2 linked regions of the Lonchura striata genome follow. The protein of the gene in region 1 interacts with the protein of each later gene in a biochemical or structural test. Links are inferred from orthologs where the notes say so. Each region holds a gene or a part of one and is shown on either strand. Other genes may lie near its edges.

Region 1 (7,483 bases):
ATCAGCTTCATAATGAAGCATAATGGATGGACCCATTACTCACTTGCTGAGAATCACCTTTACTGACTAGCTTTAGAAATACAAGTCACACATTACATATCGTACACATTCATTCTTGACTCCAGAAAACAGGAATAAAGTGCAGAGCAGAAAAGCCTAGCTCAAATGTTCTTGGGTTTGACTGCCCCCAGATTTCTACCCCCAAATTACTATGCCCAGGCTATATAATATTCTTTTCCCCAGAGGTACAGTCTAACATTTCTCTGCCTGACTCAACAAAAAGACTTTACTGGAATTTAGATTCAATAATCCAAATTTAGGATGTAAAGCCCTGCTCAGATTACTACCAGTGCTGCAGAAAACAACAATTTCACATGTGCTTTTTAAATTGGTTATCACATTGGGCATCATCAATGAGACTAGGAATGAGACTTGATAACAAGTCTAAAAGGTATTTTAAATTAATTCATTGAAGCTATTTTTTAGATCCTAGCTAAGAAAAAAATATTTTTTCAAATGTAGTTGAAAATGAACTACAGCTAAAATCATGAGGGTTCAGCAGAACCTTAAGGGAAGAAAAGAAATTCTAGAGTTAATCATCTTGTTTCTAACATGTTTGTCTTTCATTTGACTGACTTTAATCTTTTAGACGAAGTAAGGGTAGGGTGTAAAGCAAAATCATCAGAGAATTTATTGCATGTACTTATATGTGTATATTTATATTTTGCCATATTTGTATCTTTTCAGTATCTTAAAGGCTTTCGGGCTGAGATCCGTGCCTAAGTCTGCTTCTGTACTGCATAGAACACCAGTAAAACTCCCACAATTACAGCATGACAAGTACCATGAAAGTGCTGTGAGTGCCATGATCAGTGCCATAAAAACACAGAGATCAATCTAGCTTTGGAAAATATTGCAGGCATATCAAAAAGACTGCAGTATCAGCCATACCTGATACATTTCAGCCTTCCATTAAGTTTCCTTCAAATTTTTAGTCCATTCAATTGTGACATGAAGGTGGAACAGTCCTGTGGATAGGGTAGTCAAGACACAGTGTCCTCTATCCTCAGAAAAATAATTACTTGATGTTATATGAAAGCTGGGCTACTTGAGTGAAGTGTTCCAAGTTCTTCCTGATGGCTGTGACCACTGAAGCTTTTTTAACATCTCTGTAAATCCTGGGATATGGCTATGTGAGTATTTTGTACAGATTGGTTCAGAGATTGCTTCTAACCCTACATGTAAAAGGCCTTCTGTTTGCAGAAGAAACTTTTAAAATAAAAAAAAAGAGAGAATTGTTGAGATGAGACAGCTGTATTTAAAAAAACAGGCTCACAAGATAAAATAAAACAAAACCAATGACCTTTCTGGAACAATGGGCATCACTAAAAAAACTAAATGTCTTTTTTGGAATTCTTGTGTGACAGCTGTAGTCATCCCCAGAGATATACAGAGGAAAACAAAGACCATAATCACTAGAGAACAGGGTACATGAACTGACTACTACTATTCACTACTAGCTACTACTTACAGACACATGGAGCACAGTCAGAAGGGATATTCACAGAATAGAAATGCATTAGGAATGCAACACATCCAAGTGCCATACTTACAGGATAACCTGGGAAAGCAGGGTAGCCATCAGAAGGGGGATAACCTGGGTATGACATTCTGGGGAAGAAAAAATAAAAAAGGTATTTTCATTGTGAAGCACTACCTCTGAGTTTGTAGTAGGTATTTGCTTACTAATTATCTATTACTTGAATAATCTGCAATTTATCCACAGAACTTTTCCTCTTTTTCTCTCCTACATCTGACCATAGCAATCAGAATTCAGAAGGGAAGCATTTTCAACTTATAGTAATTATAGTCAATTTACTATCACCCTTATTTAAAGTCAGAGAGACATTTACGCATAGTAAGAAGCTCAAACTTCCAGAAAGCTTTGAAATACAAGATATACTCTGAGGTGCCAGCAGGAGGGAGTTTGGACCCTTTGGCAGGACAGAAACCATGCAGGTTTCTGGACTGCAACCAAGCACCTGTATGTGTCATCCTGCACTGCTCTGCTCACAGGGGTAGTTCCTGGGAGAAGAGCAGTACCCGAGCTATCCCATGTAAAATGGCAATTGGAGAAGAACAGGTCCCTGTTCTTGAACATCCCTCAGCATAACTTCATTTGTGGAGGAAATTTCTATTTCCTGACAAGTGACTGTTTCTTTTAGTCACATTTTTAACAGAGGATCTTGGGGAGTGGGGATAGAGATCACCCCATCCTGCATGTTGCAGGGAGATTCGACACCATTAGCCAGGTTATGAAACTTTTAACGACAGGGGGAAGAAAAATGGACTTTAAATTTGGCACAAGCATCCTCAAGTTGAACAGTGGCTCGACGTAACTAATTTTAGAACGAAAACAACAACAGATTTTTTTTTTTTTTTTCCGTCAGACTCTCGTTTCCCCCCGCTGTCCTGGATGGGCGCGGGGCGGGTTAAAGCGGGGGCCGAGTTGAGTCAGCTGCGGCACCGGCCCGCGGTGAAACATCAGCGGCGCGCTCCGTGCCTTGGGCGGCAGCGCAGCCGCTGAGCACGGAGACGCTTCCCCGGCGCTCCGCCGGCAGCACGGGCCCGCTCCCGCCGCCTTGAAGGGCCCCGCCTGGCGCTGCCCCGCTCCGCTCCGGGCAGTCACGCATCGCCCCAGGCTCCTCCCGCTCCCTCAGCCGCGGCCCGGCACGGCGAATCCTTCGGCGAGCTGCGGACGGAGGCAAGTACCCCGGTGTCCCGGTACCTGCCTCTCCCGAGGCCACCGGACCGCGTCCCCGCTCCACAGCGCCAGGGCAGCCCCCGCCGGGAGTGCGGCTCCCTGGGACAGGCGGCACCTCCCTCGGCCGGACACCTGCCGAGCCCCGAGCGGCCGCGGCTCCGGGAGCGCCGCCCGGGGCTGGGGCCGGGGCCGGGGCGAGCCCCCGGGCGGTGCGAGAGCAGAGCCGGAGCCGCGGCCGAGCCCCCGGGCGACGTGCCGGCAGAGCCGGGGCCGGGGCCGAGGCCCCGGGCGGGGCCGGGCCGGGCCGGGCGCTGGGGCGAGGGGCACGCGAGCGGCGGGCGGCCGTTCCTCCCTCCCCCCAGTCACCTCACCTGAGGGAACCTGCGGAGCCTCCGGCCTCTCTCCGCAGCCACACCGCAAAATGGAGCCCGTGCGGCCGGCGATGCCCGCCCCGCCCCCGGCACCGAGCCCGCCCCGCCCGGCCCGCGGCGGGGGCACCGCACCCGGTGCCGATGGTGAGGGCCCTGTCAGCGCAGAACCCTTTGCTGCCCGTGCAGGCTCGCCTCGGCTCGCTCAAGGAAAGCTGCGAGGTGCCCGAGGTGCTGTCTCGGGACGGACGGGAGGTAAGGTCGCAGCACAAGTGCCACAAACGCAGAGCCACTGGCCAGTGGAGCTGTGACAGGGGAAGCGGGCGCGCAGGAAGCGCCCGGAGATGCTGTCCCGCGGGAGTCCTGTGCCACCCGCTAGGAAAAGGAGAGAAAAGTCCACATTGCAGTTTCCCCGTAGCACCACTGCAATGAATTCAGCCCTAATGCGCGTAGGTTTAAGTCAAGTCTGTAATTCAGTAACACATGCGTCTTTAAATCAAGATCATTGTTTAGTAGCTGCAGGGAGTCCATCAAGTCACCACCGGAACTGCATGCAACAGGCAGAGAATATAAAAAGAACTAATTGCATGCAGCTGGAGGAGCTGCTCCTTTTGCTGTAGTTGCTGAAGACCAGGATCTAAGTCCCAAGAGGACATAAAGGTAGGATTGACTGACTACTACATACATTTTTTCTAGAAAGAAATCTTAATTATAGTTATTTGTATGTAATTATGGGGAGTGCCCTTACTGTTTTGTTTCTGTCTTTTGTAATGTTTATTAATATTATACTTTGAATAGTCATTGCACAGATGTGGTCCTTTCTTTACCTGATGGTTAATTATTCATAAGGCATTCTGACAAACAAGACTTTTATTTATGAAGGACTCACCTATGATATTATGCACCAGTTACTTTAGATTATTAAAAACATTTCCTTTTTTGTTTATGACAGACATGCTAGCAGTTTGGAGACCATTCCAATACAAACAGCTTTGGTTCTTTTCTGTAACCTGGTGCAGCACTTCAGTTCTAGATGAAATAACAACCACTGTTCTCTTTACCCATAGAACAGTGTGAAGTGCAGACAGCAGAAAATAGATGGGTAATAATTTACCATGCTTGCTTGCTTCAAATGAAGAGCACCTAAAGCCACATGAATCTAATACATTACCTATCCAGGAAAATTGGGCTTGTTCTCTCTTGTCTACCCAGAACACATCAGGAGTGGCTTTAAGAATTTAATCCTCACAGCATTCTTCAGCTGACACTCCGAGTGCATGTCTTCTTTCTTTTACCTGTTAAGCACATTTCTTTCAGGACAGGTAAATATTTTAATCCTTGTTTCCATGGGAACCAAGTACATTTATAAAATATACAATTCTTTTTCATTTAGTGGACTGTTTTGACTTAAGCTACTCAAGAAAAGAAAAAATGTTTTAAAACAAATTCCTTTCTTTTTGTGTAAAAGGAAGAAGAGACTATTTTAAACAAAATTACATGTGTTTGAAGAATCTGTTAAATGCATTGAATGTTTATGTATCAACGAGAATGTTTGGAATTACTTCGTTAAATCATGCAATGGAACCATTGGGTGTCATCTAATTTCTGTATTTAGGGAAATCTCTTGGCTTGCTACTTATACCTAGAATCCACACATTTAGGAAAGCTCCTAAAACCCCATGCAGAGTTAAGGCAGCTTCTCACGATTAGAAAATTCAAGTTTAGTGGAGAGACAAACTTTGTTCTTCTCTTTTGTAATATTCTTGCATCTGATCCTAGACATGGTACTGGACAGAATTCTGGTCTGGAGTGACTTGGCTCAACTATGCATTTGTGCTGAGTGCTGTCAAAATAGCTGAAACACAACTTTTTTCTCAGAGGAATTTATTGTTAGTGATGTAGGCAGCTAAAGAATTGCTGCTTCTCTGTGTGTCCTGGTTGGACCATTATTTCCTACTTAAGTAATATAAAGCATGACTCCAGCCAATCTAATTAAATTAAAAACTAAGATTTTTCCCAAGTTTGTTGTAAGAACTGGTCAGCTTTGAACCATAGGTCAAAGTGTAACAAACCCACAGGCTACTGCAGTGGCCCAAGTCTACATTATGTACTAAAACCACTTCTCCTGTTAGACTGCCTTGTGACTGCAGTTATTAAAATGCAGTCGCAGTAAGCTGTTAACCTTCCGTGTGCGGGGAGCGGAGCGAGCGCAGCTCCCGGAGGAGGCAGGAGGAGCCTGTGCTTGGTTAGCTGGCGAGGCAGTCACTGCCCGCTGAGTCATGTAGTGCTCCACCCGCCCTGCTCCGAGCATCAGGGCTTCACACCGCCCTTCGAGAGCTGCCAACCAGCCTCTGCTTCCCCAGTGAGGAAACCGAAGCTTCACCCTTCCTCAAAGCACAGGAAAACAGCAGCTTATGCTGCTTAACTGTTCTAGAAGGGCTGTGTGTCTAACGTTTTCACATCAATTTTAATCATTTGGATTGAACCCGTGAATTTCAGGTACAGGTGGCGTACGTCAACAGGTTCACAAAACCACACACTGAAACACTACCTCCTCTTAGCAGTAGATTTAAGTTTTCTGCCAATAAATTGAAGTGACTCAACTAAAAACACAAATTTAGTGACCTTCATCCCAGTACATGGAAATAATCACCAAATGAAGTTGCTATTCTGTGGTTGCTATGTCAAAACTTTCTTCAAAAAACACCATGATCTGAAAAATTTGAACCATTAAATGGCTGAATTTAAGAATATTAAGTTTAAAGAAGAGAAAGGAAAGCAAAACATTTTTATTGAGACTATTAAAAAAACAGAGTTGAATTCTAATCTTATTTAATGCTCAAAAATAACATTTTCAAGGAGATGAGTATCTTTTCTGGACCTTCAGTTTTCACTTACATTGACCTTGCAATTAGAATTTAGCATTCAGTCGCTGGGGGAACTTTCTAGATTGGAACAACCACTACAGGATCTGTAGATTTGTAATCTGAGTCTTCTTCTTGGGTTTAGCTGGGAAATTACCAGTTTTGGAGAACACTCTTTGGATACTTCAAATTCATTCACCAAACTAGATACAGTCCTTAGTAAGGAGGGAAGAGTTTTATTGTAGAAGAGGGATGGTTTAACTCTGTTAAAGCAGAGTCCCTCCTCAGCACAGCTGAACTGTAAGCCTTCTAAAAGTAATGCTATTGGCAGAGACTGTGCAAAGTTACAGCTGATATTTGTATTTGCTTTCTTCCAGCTGGTACTTAGTTAACATGAAACATACCTTGGGGAGAAAATGAGGTTTCTTTACACATAATTTTGGCAGCAGTACAGCATTATGAAATAGAAAACTCCTGTTTGGCAACACCCAACTTTTAACCTCAAATCTAATGGATTGTCATTTTGCTGTCCTTTTCTTCTTTGGCAAAGATGGAAACTCCGGTAGCCAAGCTTGTTTAGTCACAAATGCTTTTCAAACTCTTTTACCATGAACTCAGTTGCTGGCTTTAATTCTCTAACTCCCTCTTTATGAGGGGCTAATGCTATTGACCTTTACTTCCTTTCCCAAACAATCAGAATTATATGCATAGAAGTGATACCATAAATTGAATTTACTGTTTCGTAGCCTGATGAAGGGATATACACAGCACCACTAATACACCAGAGACTATTCTACAGTCCTTCATGGTAAAGCATATTATATGCAAAACAAATCCCTACACTTTCAGTGTGCTTTAGCAGTTGGAAAAAAAACCTGCAAAGAACTGGACTTCACTCCCATCCATGCTTTCTTTCCTGATGCCTCTTACCACCACCCCCCGCCCCCCTTTCAGAAATGGATTCATTACACAATAAATGAGGAAGTTTTTTTTCTGGACAGAAGCCATTGTTGCCACTGCAATGGAACTTTTATTCCAAATACATTCTTACAATAAAGCTGTATTTTGTTATACAAGTAGACAAACCCACAAGATGTTAAGATTCTCATATTCCATTTTAAAATAGCAGGTTCAACTGAACTGCAGTTGTCCCCATTCATTTCCTAAAACATGTTAGGGATTTTTCAGAGCAGTGGAAATAACAATGTAAACCAAGTCATGTAGGTAATTAAATTACAGTCCAAGGAAATTTCTAACACCACAGAAAAGTGTATCTGCTCATTCTTCAGGTTCCTTTAAGTGTAGGGTGGCAAAAGTTTCTTTATAAACTAAGAAGTTTTTCATTGAGAGCAATCTGTGACTGTGTGAGATTTGCCAAGTAGGTTACCATCAGTAGGTCCTGAAAGGGAGGGGAAAAAACAGTGATCAGAAATATTAACAAATCATAGCTTATTAGATAGCTGAATTTTTAACATCTGTAAAACATT
Region 2 (7,325 bases), on another chromosome or scaffold:
AGATATGCTACTAAATGATATGGTGGGAACAGCACAGCCTGATAACTTTCAGAAATTAAGTATCATTGTTTACAAGACAAATAGTAAGTCTATGTTCAATGATTTTTGACAGGGACTGGAAAAAAAGGCAACAATGTTTTGTTTCCATGTAAAGTTACTGACAGATAAACCTGAATTTGCTTCCTATCTACTCCATCAATCTAATTATACAGCTGTATTTTATACTTTATGTTCACGGGGGGTGAGGGGGGAAAGAGATTTGAAATAGCCATTAATATTAAGAAACTAATCTCTTCAAAGGCTTTGTACCTTCTGAAATAAAGATAGGAACTGCATAGCTTTAAAATAGAGGAAGATAGAAAAGCATGACTGTAATCAAGATTAAGATTACCAAAAATATGCTTGTCTTTTTTTGTTTTTTTTTTTAGTAGAACATAAGCAGGTTAAATTAGACAATGCATATGAGCTTTGCAAACAGGTTAAAAAACAAATTATTACGTCCTACAAATTCAGACTCTAATTTGAATTTGAAACAATACTTGGTGACTTTCTTCTGTAAACAAAGAAAACTAATTCATCAAGTCAAAGACAAGATCTCTATTGTAAACTACATCAAAGAAAGCTCAGATAAAACATTAGATATTATATAGGCATAAAAACAACACAGCAGCAAACCATAACCAGAACATACGCCTTCTACAGTAAGTACAGATGGATAACTGAGATGTAGCTTTTTACAAAGGTGCATGGATGGCCATAAAAGCAACTGATAATTTATCTGTTACATTTCACTGTCTCCTTAGGGGTTTTTACTTCTGCACAGCCACTGGTACCAGAAACAGACACCTCAGATTCCAAGGATAACTTAAAAAGCTACTGAGTTCATTTCAGTAAGGAATAATTACTACAAATAGAAAGCATTTCAGAGTGTTAACTTAAGTATTCTTAAGTGCTAACTTGATCATATCCATCAACCCACTGGTTCCCCAGCTTCCAGTATCCATGCCTCACTTGAGAAAGCTGGGCATGGTCTGTGTTTTGCTGAAATCCAGCTCCTGCCACCTTTTCTCCACAGTGCTGTTTCCTGTTTGCTGATACCTCCCCTTCTCTACAACAGGAGCTTATTAATTTGTCCAGCCTCAGCTACTGGCTCTGCTGCTGATTCCTGGCACACATCCAGGAGGCACCTGCACGAAGACACGTCTCAGCTGGCAGAGAAATTGTCAGCACATTCAGCAGAAAGAACTCAGCTCTGGGCTCCACCTTCTCAGAAAAGCCTCATTACACACAGGTCATTCCAGTGTTCTCCTTTACTACAAAAACACACGGTCTAAATATTTCCATAAGCAGTTAGAAGGAAGTAAGATATAGACTGCAAGATGCATTATTAATTCAAAAAAGTAACATAGAGAACAAAACTAATCTAAGTTATGGTGGGAATCTGAACATCAGCTAGTATTGCTGAATTTAAATTTTCATGTTGTGGTTGCATCTACCTGAGGATAGCAGATCCAAGAGCAGAATTTTAGATTTGCACACACCCTACAAGTGTGCAATAAATAGATACAATATGGCAAACACGGAACTTCAGCTCAATAAACCTAACTTAATTGCTCCTAAACTCTGTAACACAGTTCAAAGAGCACGTATTTCTAGCAACATACATGATCATACAAAAACAATATATGCCACAAAATTACAGGAAAGAAATTAAAAATGCAGTGCAGAATGACAGGGAAGGAAAAAAAAAAAGTTGTGAAAGCCTTTCCTCTAGAAGAATAATCACTCTATGTTAACAGTAAACCCAGATGCTGGCACAATGCATGATGCTTTTCCATTTGTGAGTCTATTAAGATCATGTAATGACCTCTTTCCTGTTATCATTTCCTGCTCTTAGCCAGGCCATCTCCACAGCCCACACTTTCCACTCTTTCTCTTTTCTTTCTCCTAAACCTGGCAGCATTCACCAGCCCAGAGCTGAGTCACAATTCAGTTACAAAACTTCATGCATCTATATATCCCTTGCATTTACCTATATAGGAAATAGAGGCATACATGTCTATGTTTGTGTATGTATGTATGTATTTGCACATACAATACAGAAACAAACAGCATTATTCAAATTATATAGTATGTATACAGCTATAACATAGACCAATACAGACATATATATATAGCAAATAGGCTAAGTAAAACAATTACAGTTTTTTTTTTTTTTTAACTAGAAACATCAGATTTTTTCCCTGGGGTATTGGGGCTGCAAATACTAGGCATTTCTCCTTCCAAAGATAGAGAGTATTCCTCAAAAAGAAAAAAAAATCCAATAAGTAAATAACATTTTATAAGTTTACCTGCCCCCCTACTGCAGCAAAATAACCATACAAAGGATCCTGAGCTTGTCCAGGGAATGCTGGTCCTCCTGGAGCTCCTCCATACTTTGGAAACAAAAAAGAAAATTAATTTTAAATCAGTAATTCAGTTAAGGATCTGTACTTATCAACATACGTTTTTATGTACACACCATGCCTTAAAAAAAAAAAAAAATCAAAGCAACCAAAACCGAAACTCCTCACGAAAAAAATGCCCCAAACCAACTCTGAATTTCAGTACTGACATACTAAATACATAATGTATTGTAATGTAAGCAGATCAGTGTAAAACCTTGCACAGGAGCAATCGACTGATCTAGATACAGCCTGGTCTATCTCACCAAGGTTTCGTTTTAATTCTACCCCCAGCATAAAACGGCGTGCTTAAGAAACACTAAGGCACTACAAATTTTTTTTCCACTCCAGAAAAGTTGAGCAAAACAGATGTCTAGGGCAAATACATGGAAGAATACGTATTAAGTGTGAAAACCCTTAAAGAAAACCGATTCCTAAGTGAAAATCACGGAATGACACCCCCAGCACTGACTTTCTCCCCGGCAGCAGTTGCGGGGGAGGTGCCTCCTCCCTCCCTTCTCCGCAGCCCCGAGCTGGCGGACCCCGCCCGGCCGGGCAGACTGCGCCCGGCCCGGCTCCCGCCGCTGCCCCGGGCCCCGCCGGCCCCTCGCCCCGCGGGCCCGGCCCCGCTCACCCCGCCCTGGTAGAACCCGCCGGGCGCGGGCTGCCCGGGATACGCCATCTTCGCCTGGCACCGGCTCCGGCGGCCCGGCTGCGCCCGGGAGCAACCACTCGCATACGGAGGGAGGGCGGCGACTTCCAGCCCCGGCCCTTCCCGGAGCCCGCGTCCCGCCGCCCCCCGGGCGGGGCAAGCGGCGACCTGCCGTCAGCAGGGCAGCGGGCGGTGCCGGGCGGTGCCGTCGGGAGGCGAGGGACCGCCCGCTCCGATCTCCTCTCCGCCGAGTTCCCCCTGCGGCGCGGTGGTACAGGCCCATGGCCCCGCGGCGGCGTTTCCCGGCGCAGCGGGGCGGGGCGCGGCGCTGCCTGGGGCCCGGCGGGCGGACGTGGCTGTGTCAGTGCGGGATGAAGGGGGAGTGGCTGTGTCAGTGCGGGATGAAGGGGGAGTGGCTGTGTCAGTGCGGGATGAAGGGGGAGTGGCTGTGTCAGTGCGGGATGCGGGGGGACGTGGCTGTGTCAGTGCGGGATGCGGGGGGACGTGGCTGTGTCAGTGCGGGATGCGGGGGGAGTGGCTGTGTCAGTGCGGGATGCGGGGGGACGTGGCTGTGTCAGTGCGGGATGAAGGGGGAGTGGCTGTGTCAGTGCGGGATGAAGGGGGAGTGGCTGTGTCAGTGCGGGATGAAGGGGGAGTGGCTGTGTCAGTGCGGGATGCGGGGGGACGTGGCTGTGTCAGTGCGGGATGCGGGGGGAGTGGCTGTGTCAGTGCGGGATGAAGGGGGAGTGGCTGTGTCAGTGCGGGATGAAGGGGGAGTGGCTGTGTCAGTGCGGGATGCGGGGGGACATGGCTGTATCAGTGCGGGATGCGGGGGGACGTGGCTGTGTCAGTGCGGGATGAAGGGGGAGTGGCTGAGTCAGTGCGGGATGCGGGGGACGTGGCTGTGTCAGTACGGGATGAAGGGGGAGTGGCTGTGTCAGTGCGGGATGAAGGGGGAGTGGCTGTGTCAGTGCGGGATGCGGGGGGACGTGGCTGTGTCAGTGCGGGATGCGGGGGACGTGGCTGTGTCAGTGCGGGATGAAGGGGGAGTGGCTGTGTCAGTGCGGGATGAAGGGGGAGTGGCTGTGTCAGTGCGGGATGCGGGGGACGTGGCTGTGTCAGTGCGGGATGCGGGGGGAGTGGCTCTGTCAGTGCGGCAGCGCTGAGGGCGCTGGCTCGGCGCTGCGGGCTCAGTTCGCCGGCGGCTCCCGGCCAGCAGCTCTCAGACACCCGCGGGAGGCGAGGCCCGTGGACGGAACCGCTCCGCGGAGGAGGAGGCGGAGCTGGAGCCAGTCCCTGGCGCATCCCGGGGCTCCGCGGAAAATGGTGTTCCGTGGCGGCTGTCACCCACTAAGGTGACAGGAAAGCTCCCGACATGTTCACCGGTGAATCGGTTGATGATTTCAGAACCACCGACTCGTGGTTTGCCAAAAGACCGCAAGACTCATAGACTCGGCAGTCGGTGCATCCGTATCGTGCATCCCAAACTCATCCTTACGTGTTCTCTGTTGGTACCGTTGCTTTTCCTTCAGAACCGGACCACCCATCCCTGACCCCAAAGACACAGAAGAATCTGTATAATTTCCTTTGGGTCTGTAGCTCCAAATTCTGGAGTAGGAGCCGTGTCCCAGTGGAGCGAGGGAGCCCTGTTGCGTTCCGTCGGGGCCGCTCCGGGTTGGGGGATTACCGGGAGAGCACCGCCTTTGATGCAAGAGCCTCCTCCCGGCCGGCGGCGCTCCCCGGTGCAGCCCGTGGTTTTCTCCCGCTGACCGCCCAATACCCCAGGGAGCAGCATCAGCCGGAGCGGCCACGGCTTGGTCTCAGCTGGTCTTGCGACTTTGCAAAACACAGAATTCCCCCCCTCTCCCAGTGAGCGCTATTTAATTCAGACGCAAGATGATGAAAAATCAGTTGCTGGAGTCTGTATGACTGAAACAGGTCTCCTAATAGAGACCTTGCAGGGCAAATGGTCTGCTGTCAGAAATCTGGAAGCACAACAATTTATTATTTTTGTTTATTGACATAATTTCTGAAGAACATTAGAAATTTGAATAAGACCTTAATTCATTTAAGTATGCTAATTTATAGTAAACTTTTCATTTAAAGTGAGTCACTTTTCTCAGCTTCTAAGTCATCTAGTAAACAGGACTTTCAGACATTTTCTATGTGGAATATATTTTATTATTTTAGCATTATTTGCACCTTAAAACTGCTAACAATTGCCAATGACGTGAAAACAAAACTGTTGTTCTGTGTAATATAATAACCAATAGAATTGCCAAATGAGACAAATAATTATTTAATGCTTTAATCACACAGAATAACATATATGAAGCTATGAAGCAACTGAGAAACAAAGTAGTGACCCTGTATAATTTCTTGGCTTAAGAAATACCTATCTCACAAGGGTATTTAACTAAGAGTGTTGATATCAAGATGTGTGGTTGTCAGATAGTTGTTTTGACCAAACTTAATCACGTGCAGTGCAGGTTATTGCAGGCTCTGTGCTGAACTTTGTTAAACTACATATATTAAAGTCTAGGCAAAAAGCCCTCCTAATTAAAATAGGACCTAGGAACAGTGATAAAAATATTAGATTAAAAATAAGTGGCAAAGAATATAAGTGATAAGATTTGAAGAGTTATACAGTGATAAACAAAATTTCAAATGGTATATACATATTGCTAGTAACTTAATAGGAATGAATTTTTCATTACTTCAGTGAGAAACAAACAGGTATGATTTATACCAGTTGGTAGATAAAGACACTACACTGTACAGCTGTAGTTGTATAGAAAAAGGAAGATATTTCATAATTTGGGGTAGGGTTTTTCTGTACTTTAACTCAGTGTAAATAACTGGCCACTCTCCATTTTCAGTACTTCTGCTGAGACGCCTGGCACTCATCGAATCATAGTGTTTAGGCTGGAAAATATCTCTTAGAACATTGAGACCACCTGTTAATCCAGCACTGCCAGGCCCACCACTAAACCATGTCCCTCATTGTCACATCTACAGGTCTTTTAATTTCCCCAGGGATGGTAATTCTGCCACTTCTTTGGGCAGTCTGCTCCAAAGCTCAACAATGCTTTCAATAAAGACATTTCTCCAAATATCCAAAAAGCTCCCCTGGCACAACTTGAGTCTATTTCCTCTTTTGTTACTTGCAAGTAGAAACTGACCCCCACCTCACTACAACCTTTTGTTCAGGCAGTTGTAGAGAGTTCTGTCTCAGTTCAGCCTCCTTTTCTCCAGGCTAATCACCCCAGGTCCTTCCGCTGCTCTTCATCACACTTGTGTTCCAGACTCTTCATCACACTTGTGTTCCAGACTCTTCATCACACTTGTGTTCCAGACTCTTCATCAACTCTGTTGCCCTTCTCTGATCTCACCCCACCACTCAGTGTCCTGCTTGTAGTGAGGGGCCCAAATGCACTGCACTTAGTAGTTAACATTTGCATTATTTATATTTAAACATACATAAGCAAAAGAGCTAGGAGACAGATGTAACCAAGGGATGTATTTTAAATGGATTGTTGGGTAGGCATTTTGTTTGCACTGGTGCATTTGCTTATTCCTTATCTGAGAAAAAGGCTGCAAAGGAAGGATATTAGAGGAGATTAATGAGTACACATCTGCCTTCTGAAGGGTGACTGAGCTGTGGTAACCTTTTAAATTTCCTTAAGTTCATCATATTACAAACACACCAGTAAGAAATCTGTGTGGAATAAATAGCTTCTGATTTTGCAGATCTCAAAGAGTGTGTGATCCCTCTAGTGGGAAAATCGAAGTCAAGCAACATAGGATGCTAGTACTATTGCCTTTTTTTTTTTTTTTTTTTTTTTCTGAGATAATTCACTGTATTTTTCTAAGAAAATGCCTAGGTAAAATAATTTTGTTTAGAAAGGGAAAATTATGTGCACAGTTTTCATTCCATAGCTTTTTCTGGATTCTTTTTAGTAGGATTTTAAGAAAGAATTCAGAACTGAGCTACAGTAATAGTGTTACTGCCTTAAACTCTGGTCACAATTCACACTCATTATGTGTGCAATGCTTCCTCACAGTGAACCAAGGCTAGCATAAACCCAAGACAAGTCACAGACTTTCTGCTTGCCCATCTGTTCTACTTTTGTTCCTTCTAAGTCTGGGTACATTTAACCCTGACATGAGCTCACACGTGATGTGGGAATTTGGTCACCCTGAACTGAAAGCCTTGAGCTGGATCGTGC

What was found.
Region 2: the proteins of ANXA7 (region 1) and SRI interact in a biophysical measurement, tested with the Homo sapiens proteins (2 studies listed by BioGRID and IntAct, with this or other methods). The link is inferred for Lonchura striata from reciprocal best matches to the Homo sapiens genes ANXA7 and SRI.

What each region holds. Positions count from the first base shown.
Region 1 is NC_134609.1:12,803,773-12,811,255, forward strand, and holds the start of ANXA7 (annexin A7), read right to left. Parts: upstream 3,229-7,483; 5' UTR 3,136-3,228; intron 1,672-3,135; 5' UTR 1,671-1,671; coding exon 1,614-1,670; intron 1-1,613. Other genes in the region: EIF3F (eukaryotic translation initiation factor 3 subunit F), read right to left, coding at 7,318-7,395. UniProt on the Homo sapiens protein: Calcium/phospholipid-binding protein which promotes membrane fusion and is involved in exocytosis.
Region 2 is NC_134603.1:135,328,357-135,335,681, reverse strand, and holds the start of SRI (sorcin), read right to left. Parts: upstream 3,226-7,325; 5' UTR 3,127-3,225; coding exon 3,079-3,126; intron 2,436-3,078; coding exon 2,352-2,435; intron 1-2,351. UniProt on the Homo sapiens protein: Calcium-binding protein that modulates excitation-contraction coupling in the heart. Contributes to calcium homeostasis in the heart sarcoplasmic reticulum. Modulates the activity of RYR2 calcium channels.